2 linked regions of the Bombyx mori genome follow. The protein of the gene in region 1 purifies or fractionates together with the protein of each later gene. This does not show direct contact. Links are inferred from orthologs where the notes say so. Each region holds a gene or a part of one and is shown in the gene's direction. Other genes may lie near its edges. The genes, in order: inositol polyphosphate 5-phosphatase E; retinal rod rhodopsin-sensitive cGMP 3',5'-cyclic phosphodiesterase subunit delta.

The links.
Region 2: the proteins of inositol polyphosphate 5-phosphatase E (region 1) and retinal rod rhodopsin-sensitive cGMP 3',5'-cyclic phosphodiesterase subunit delta purify together in Homo sapiens (affinity purification with mass spectrometry; 3 studies listed by BioGRID and IntAct, with this or other methods). This does not show direct contact. The link is inferred for Bombyx mori from reciprocal best matches to the Homo sapiens genes INPP5E and PDE6D.

The regions. Positions count from the first base shown.
Region 1 is NC_085123.1:6,741,243-6,745,521, forward strand, and holds the start of inositol polyphosphate 5-phosphatase E, read left to right. Parts: upstream 1-1,457; 5' UTR 1,458-1,614; coding exon 1,615-2,279; intron 2,280-2,423; coding exon 2,424-2,543; intron 2,544-4,133; coding exon 4,134-4,262; intron 4,263-4,279. Other genes in the region: uncharacterized protein LOC101746422, read left to right, coding at 461-590, 1,094-1,254. UniProt on the Homo sapiens protein: Phosphatidylinositol (PtdIns) phosphatase that specifically hydrolyzes the 5-phosphate of phosphatidylinositol-3,4,5-trisphosphate (PtdIns(3,4,5)P3), phosphatidylinositol 4,5-bisphosphate (PtdIns(4,5)P2) and phosphatidylinositol 3,5-bisphosphate (PtdIns(3,5)P2).
Region 2 is NC_085119.1:5,232,855-5,237,239, forward strand, and holds the start of retinal rod rhodopsin-sensitive cGMP 3',5'-cyclic phosphodiesterase subunit delta, read left to right. Parts: upstream 1-1,483; 5' UTR 1,484-1,557; coding exon 1,558-1,628; exon of another isoform or gene 1,629-1,978; intron 1,979-2,127; coding exon 2,128-2,159; intron 2,160-2,736; coding exon 2,737-2,888; intron 2,889-4,137; coding exon 4,138-4,274; intron 4,275-4,385. Other genes in the region: ubiquitin-protein ligase E3A, read right to left, coding at 203-237. UniProt on the Homo sapiens protein: Promotes the release of prenylated target proteins from cellular membranes. Modulates the activity of prenylated or palmitoylated Ras family members by regulating their subcellular location.

The DNA.
Region 1 (4,279 bases):
TTCGACACACAACTTGGCTTTGCTTGGCAATGTCGAGTCGTGGCAAGAGAAGTTGAAATTCCACCACTGGCTTTGAGTGTGACCAGCGAGCTATCCTGTAGAATGCATGTAGCGCCATCTAGCCGTGTTTCATATTTAACGCTAACCGAGGGGCCCAGTGGCACTGACGCCCATCGGTCTGGCATCCGAGAGAAGTAGAGTGAAAGAAAGAAAGTCGCTCCGGGTAAATTAATCACCTTAGGCCCCAAATGTCCTAGTTAAGTTCAATGTCATCCGAATTTCGAACGCGGGCTCTTGATCAAACGAGATTTAGTTGGTTCGACACCAATAAGACCCACCTTCTACACTAAATTAGTAGGCAGGACTCCGGTAACTTCCTCCTCGTTTGTGTATGTTTCCTGGGTTAGCAAAAAAGGCTCTGTATTTTTGAAGTTTTAAAAAGTTTCTCTTTTGTTATTAGGACCCAATAGGCGTGATCGCAAGCTTTACACGGGGCTGCGAAAGTTTCCCGGATTTTTTAAATCACGAAGTTACAGATCCAACATTCCGAACTTTTTATAGAGCATGCACAAATGATTTGTGCAACATTGGTAACTTATTACAATTTGCTTATTTTTTATTTATAATATTACAAAATAAAAATAAAAATAAACATTTAGGAATGGTATAATTGAAGCATGCTGTAAGATTGTTTTTATTAGTGTAAGTATATGAAACGACCCACTTAATTTTAAATGGTTATTGAAACCTATAGACACGACAGCGTGAATACCATTACTTATTTAAAAGGGAGTGATCCGAAGGCTCAATTGTGTTGGAAGCGGTGTTGGTGGTGGCGGTTATGTTAGCCTACAAAGTTCAGAAACAGCAAAGCGACGGTAATAGATATCGAGCTCAAAGGGCAGTACCTATAGTGTAACAAGAAGATAGCAACTATGAATAATGGACTACATAGGTACAAGAGAAACAAATAATGAACTATATAACAATCTATCTATTCTACACGTACTGCTATTACTTCACGTCCTACACATCTAGTCCTCAGAATATTATGTCATCAAATTAGAACTAAAATGAACTACACATGTTTTAGGTGATGGAATTCAGTCTATAGTCGGCGGTAATTTGTCTCCGTATCCTGCATACACCGGCATTAATCTATTAGTACCTGGGACAGGAAGCGGAGTAAATATCAAAATGAATAGAGTGTTGTTCTTTTCTGTGATAATGATCCTAATCGGGTTACATGTTTAAATAAATAATGTTCATTTTATTTTCTTCAAATCAGAATATTTTTTTGTAATATCTCAATAAAATACAGAAATTACATTAGCTCTTGTCATTAAGTACTTCCACAATATTACGTCCTAGAGTATCTGTACCTCGTACTCAAGCTAACGTTGGTTGACTATATCCCCACAGATTATTCAGAGACATGACGTTACCTAGGAAAAACGCTTTTGTCAGTGTCCAAGAGTCCAAATTGTCATTAAGTGAAAAATAGCTATAGCTACCAAAATGTCTGTTAAAAAACTTGATACCTAGGTTAAGAATTTTAGATAAAATATGTAATCAATAACATAAAGTAACATAAAAACTCTTACTAAATTAACAATGACTACGTCTCCTACCAGAACAAAACAGAAATTGTCTTTGCGGAAACGGTTATTCGTAAAAAAGTCTCCTCGAGTCGGTTGCTATGTTGATACAGAATCAAACGATGAATTTTCTCAGTCCACGTCTCGGCCCATATCGCCCGCGGATCCTTTTTTAGCTCAAAGTGCGCAGCATATCGAAACCAGTGTAGAAGCGATAGATAATCAACGAAATGCTAGTGCTGAACCACTTTCCCAGAATAGTAGTCACGGTGTCAGTCACAACCAAAGAGAAGAGGAGATCAACCCTAAATGCTGCCGTACCTTCTTTAGAAGATCTCGACCCAAGAGCTTAGTAGATGGAGGTCATTCCAAAGATGAACAGTGTCCAGATACATCCAGAGGTTGCAGTCCAGTATCGAATTCTATTAATAGTTTAAGTGACCAAACTATTTCTCAAACGAAATCAGACGAAATACCCAAAGCAACTATCAAATTTCCTAAAAGTGATGATTCAAAAAAGAGCTTTGAACATTCTGGTTCATTTGAGGGCATCAAAACAAAAAATAAACTCTTTGTCAAACGTTTATCAGCTGATCATCTGATTTCTACTGAAAGCAAACCACTATTTCGTTCTTCATCTCCCGAGAGTGATAGGAGTAGTTCTCTAGATCGTAAAAGAAGGTAATTATTAGGTTATTATATTGTAGTATTTTTTATTAAACAATTTATAATCATTAAAAAAAAAATGATCTATTAAAGATTAACAAAGATTGGTTTTTCTTAGTGTATGAATAAAAATTATAATATACCCACTTCATTTTATAGAAGTAAATCAACAATAACCCGGTCTGCTTCTCGTGCGGGTAGCACTGATAGCTTAGCACGTAACTCTTTGCTTGCTGCACAGGTGCTACGCCTCATACCCACACAAGAAGCTCGTGAAAGGTAGGATATAAACATCCATATACAATCATATGCTTAATACAAACTACTTACGGTATTATTATTATATAGTATATTATATATTATTATCTATAGTATTTTATAAATTATTACCAAAACTACTGAAATAAATGGTATATTAAAAAATAATTACTCAAGTCTCACTGTAGATAAAAGTAGAGTATTAAAAAAGTAAGATAACTAGTCGAGAATGCTTAGCCATGTTATTTCGCAGAATACAACAATAAGGAGAGAAAGCTATTACCCATAGACACAATCAACTGAATTTCTCGCTGCATTTTTTCAGTTGGTCGCAATTCTGTTCTGGTGGTAGATTCTGCGAAGCACTACTCTTGCTAGGGCTAGTATAAGCAAATTATTTCAGGTTGAGCACATGAGCTCACCTACCCATCTGCGAGCAGCTGAAATTGCTCCTTAGGTTACCAGCGAATATGTAGGAAAAAAACCACTATTCGGGATGAAGTAGTATAATAGAAAACCAAACTCAGCCAAATTTGTTGTCACACTTGCCTTATAGCATCAGCTAATTATGTTTCTAGCTAGATTCCCTCAGTGAGTTCTTATTCTGATCTGGTGGTGGAGGTTCACAGCTGCCACTGGTGATATTTTTGTTAGGCTACCTTACCACCACCAGAGTACCTTTGACACTTGATCCATCTGTCCTGAAGATGGAAAGGAAATCTAATACAAAACAAGTAGCCAAGCTCACTTACCAATACTCTTTATACAATAAATTATCAAACATATTAGAATTATGTAAAATAATCTTAAATTTACTTTATAAAGAAAGTTTAAATAAAGGTATTAAAAAATAAGCATTAGCTCCTTTCATAAGCAACCAATTAATAAATAATTGTTATAGATGAATTGTAATGGTGATTGTTAATTGGGGTATAATAGTGGTAGTCTTGTGATTCTGCATGGCTAGATACCACTACCCAGCCTATTTTTACCGTGAAGCATTCATGGGTTTTGGTTTGAAGGATGGTGCAACTATTGTAATTGTAAGAACTCATGTCTTAAAGTGGATGACAGCATCAACATCGCAGATGTCTATGAGCTCTGGTAACCACTTAACACCAGGTGGGCTATGAACTCGTTCACCCAATAATAATAAAAAAGTCAATTAGAAATACTATATATTTCTATTATATTATACATTGACACTATATACATAATATTATCAGATGAAATTTATAGGCATCTGATATTTTTATATTATGCTATTTTTCAGAGAATGTTTTATAACATATAATCATTAAAAAATATATTTAAGTAATGAGTCATAAATAAATCAAACTAATTATTTACTTTGCCTTTACCTTATCAGCCAAGTACAATATGGGGACTGAGTCACTGTTACCTTGAAGTTAATTACAATAACGTACTACGAAAATGAGATCCTAAATTAAAACTTGTAGTACATTCTACAGAACATGTTTTAAAAGTTTTATATAATACACTGTTTTTTTTTTATCGTGTGTTTAGTGTCGTATTCTATTTTAATGCAGAAAAATCTATTGGTACTTCAATTACAAAAATGGAAAGATCAAATGAAAATGTTTATTTCAGAAATTACCTTTATGGTAGACTTGCCTCACATTCACTCCTCGGCGCAGCTGAACTAGAACATGTTTTTCCTGATAGAGAAGTCAAGATATTTGTTGGCTCATGGAACATGAATGGGCAAGCACCGCCAAGGTAACATCTGATTGTAT
Region 2 (4,385 bases), on another chromosome or scaffold:
ATATATTTTCAAACAACACTTTATTTTTGCTTAAAGGAAGGTACTAAAATAGCAAGTAATGCTTCATAACCCCTATCAACATTTTGTTTCTGCACGAAACAAATACAATAAAATTTAGATATATTTTGGTAATCTTAAAGGTCAACGTGATGTGAATTTTTAAATATTAATAATATAGTGAAATAATAAAACAGATACATACCTCGAAGCTTCGACAGACTCGCTTTTCGGGTTCATAGAAAATTCTTAATAATCCTGTAGTGATTTCAAACGGCCAGTTACATAAATACGGTGATAACGTAAACATTAGCAGGGTACAAATTTTAGAAATATTTTTTGTGTTCACCTCTTGGACTAAACAAACAACATTTACATAGTACAACATATAATTTTACCTATTGGCTATTATTGTGTTTTATGTAGGTACCTATGTACAAAATTACAAATTGAGATTTTTGTGAAATTTTCTTTTTTTTGTTACGGCCATTGGCTACTGTATCTTTTGGCAAAGAAAGTGCACAATCGTTGATTCGATTTTGTGGTTTAGTCGATTTGATATTGATGTGCACAAGATCGTTTTGAAGCTGTCATATAAAAAGCCTGTTTGACTGAATCGACATTTGTGAATTACTGTAAAATAAATTTAAAATTTGAAATTTATAGTCTGAGACTCTGGAAAATGCTCTGTAGTAGTTCACAGATTAAAATATTAGTTACTGAGCATTTCTCAAAAAAATTGACCATAGCAGCCGCAATGTTGATGTCCCATACTTTGGTCTTTGATGATGTTTTTATTACGATAATATAAATAACATACATGACAGTCGTAACTTCATTGATATTACTTAATTATCAGAGAAAATATCAAAACAATAAATAAACCACACTAATTACAATAAATAATTAATAATCTAAAAACCAAAATATTCGTACTATGGAAAATAAGTTGTCCCATTAAGACCGCAGTGATTTTGAACTCATTTATTTCATTACATTCTATTTGTATTCTATTTACATTCTATTCATATGATGTTATGTCATATGTCATATGATGACGTTAATTGGTGGATCCCATGGAGTTAATAATAATACTAATCTCTATAGAGGATCCCGAGAAGCTATGTCCAGTGGCTTTGTTTCGTTTTCCCACATTTGTGAACTTTCACAGATATCAAACAGTTAATAAACCACCGTTATTACACATTTAAACCTGAAGAAACACTAAATAGATAAAATAAAACAAATCACACAACTTCACTCCTCGCGTTCCCGCCAAAAACAACCTAAAGGTCTATGTTACCAGGTCATAAAAAAAGACCATAGACTTAATTTATGGAGCTTGCAAAAAAAACCCCAGAAAAAGTGGTTTTCATTTTTCAATGTGAATGTGAACAATATTGTGTTCGTAATTGAATTTAGAGTCATAGAATAAACACTTAATTGTTTAGAGTATTTTGTTAGACAGAAAAATAAACACAGTTCAGTTCGCTGTTAAGAAAATCAGCAATCAAAAACATAATCATATAAAATTGGAATTGAACTTTTATTTTCGCAAATATGACTGACGTTCTAACAACTGAACGAGATAAAAATGATCGTGTGGAGACTATTCTGAAGGGATTTCAAATGTATCCTTTACATATGTTCTTTTTCTTATATTGCCCTTAATGCCATTGTGAGTTGAGATCCTTTAAAATCGAATAGTTGACGAGTAAGTCGTGGCGTTACGTCTAGCAGGGCACCTTTTTTTGCTTTTTGGATGATTACCCGACTGTCGAGAGACTTTAAACCAAGTCCTGCCTATTCTTTTAAAAAGTATTTTTGCATTATTAGGCCCATCGTCTGCAAACATAATGCTGTTCCATAGTAATTCAGTACCTAAGCATTTGTACCGTGCATCACTTTTGGAATGAATTTCTTCCCACGATTATGCTGTTGTTTCCCACAATAGTCCCACAATTAAAGTTTGAAAATGTACCTGAAAATGTAAAAATAATACATCCTCAATTGATGTATTTAACATGTGATCCCTAATTGATTATAAACAGCGTTAAAAATAAATAGATTCATCATTTCAATGTGTTTTACTTAACAATTGTCAATAATTTTTTAACATTGCAACGTCAGTAATTGGATGAATCTTCGTGATGCTGACACAGGTAAAGATCTAGTCATTGAAAAAAAAACGTTTGAAATATATTAAAATTAAGATCAGTAGTAGAATTTGTTTTGCCTGTAAATTAGATATGCAATTTCCAAAGATAAACAAGTCAGTTACTGATTGTGTATATCATTGTTTGTTTTTTTAAATATACTCAACAGAATATAATTAAAAGTTATATGATGCTATAGTTGATGTGAATGAAAAATTAAAATAAATAAATAAATGACTAATCTTGGGTCCAAGGTGGTTAATTGTTTTTACATTGGGATGTCTATGAGACCACTCCAGGAGCAAGATTTATTAAATGTTTTCTAGTATTTAAAAATCCTACAAGTAGCTTCACCAGACTGCTGATGATTGTTGTATAAAATATACATACTCAACACATAATAATAATACTCAAAACTGTAATAACATATCGCGGGCGAGCAAAGCGTGGCAATTTTTTTTTCTCATTTTATGAAGTTTCTTAAATAAAAATCAAACTACTTTTAGATACTTAAGTAACAGCAATGTTATAATTTTTCCCCTATTGCACATTTATATTTATTTTATTAATAATTCTTTTTCAGGAAAAATTCTTTGGCAACATAATGAGGACATGTCAAGTCCAGATGCGGAACACGAAGCAAGAGTACCCAAAAGAATTCTCAAGTGCAGAGTAGTGTCTCGTGAAATGAACTTCAGCTCAATAGAATCCATGGATAGATTTAGATTAGAACAGGTACATCTATACATATAAATAAAATTAGAGTGTCTGTTTGTAGTATTGAAATAACAGCTTTTTACTACATTCATATGAATATATATACGGTACATATACCAAAATAAAATTTTTTATAATTTTTTTTTGTCTGTCTGTTTGTTCCGGCTAATCTCTGGAACGGCTGGACCAATTTTGATGAGACTTTCACTAATAGGTAGCTGATGATATAAGGAGTAACTTAGACAACTTTTTTTACACTAGCTTCGCCCCGCGGCGTCTCCCGCAGTTATTGTCGTACCGCGCGCTACATGGCTGGCTTGGCCTATCAGTCAATAATAAAATTTAATGTTTCCGAAGAGAAGCGAGGGCGGGTCGCTAGTGTTAAGATAGTAAGCAATTAAAGTAGAATTAGTTTCCAACTACAAGCATCATTTAACATTATTTATGTAGCCGATGAGTCAGAAATACTAAAAACAGTATGTTGTAGGTTAGATAGACTAGACAGTGTTGATTAGTGTTCAGTAGATGCTTAAAGGAGGGGACGTCATAAATAGACTTGGAGGGAATGTGTGAACCCCTTTCACACATTCCCTCCAAGTCCATATGAGTGAAAAGGGTGTGTATGGGTAAATATGATGTATGATAGACCTGAATGGAAAAAAGGTCATCATTGTATAAAGGCAAGAATAAGAATAAGAAAAAGTGTCATGATAGTTTTGATTTAGGTGGAATTATATTTATCAAACTGATATTCGAATCTGAGTATTGAGTATACATCTTCCTGTCTTATATGTATGTTTCTGGTATCCAGAACATGGGAGAAATTTCTGGCTTAGACTGTATAGTGTGAAATGTTTGCTTGTTAAAATAACATCACCATCAGCATCTATCAGTATAATTGGCCACAGATGTGACAACTTAGAACTGTCTGAATCCAAGCTTTGCTCCATATTTATATCATATTATTTCAAAAATAATTCATTCATCTAGTTTATTTTAATTGACTTGAATTAATATGTTCACAGAATTATAGAATTTAAACTATCCAATCCTGCATTTAACTGGTAGTACACTTACAATTAAATATAACATTACCAATCTAATTAGATATAAAATATAATTTTTACATAGATAAACATTTTATTATTTGGTAATTCGGTACTAACTTCATTAATAACACATGGATTTTGAGCTACTCACACCTACAGCAATAGAAAATATATAACTGATTTGAACACTAAAAAAAACTAAATGTTTCTTTTTATAGAAAGTACTCTTCAAAGGGAGATGTTTAGAAGAGTGGTTTTTCGATTTTGGTTATGTGATCCCGAACTCAACGAACACTTGGCAATCCGTTATAGAGTCAGCGCCTGAATCGCAAATGATGCCGGCCAATGTGCTCAAGTAAGTTTGATAGTATATAAAATTTCAATATAAATTAGTATAGATGGGCAGATGAGGCTACAGCTCACATTTAGGTGATACTGAAACCCAAATACACTATGAAGTGCTTGT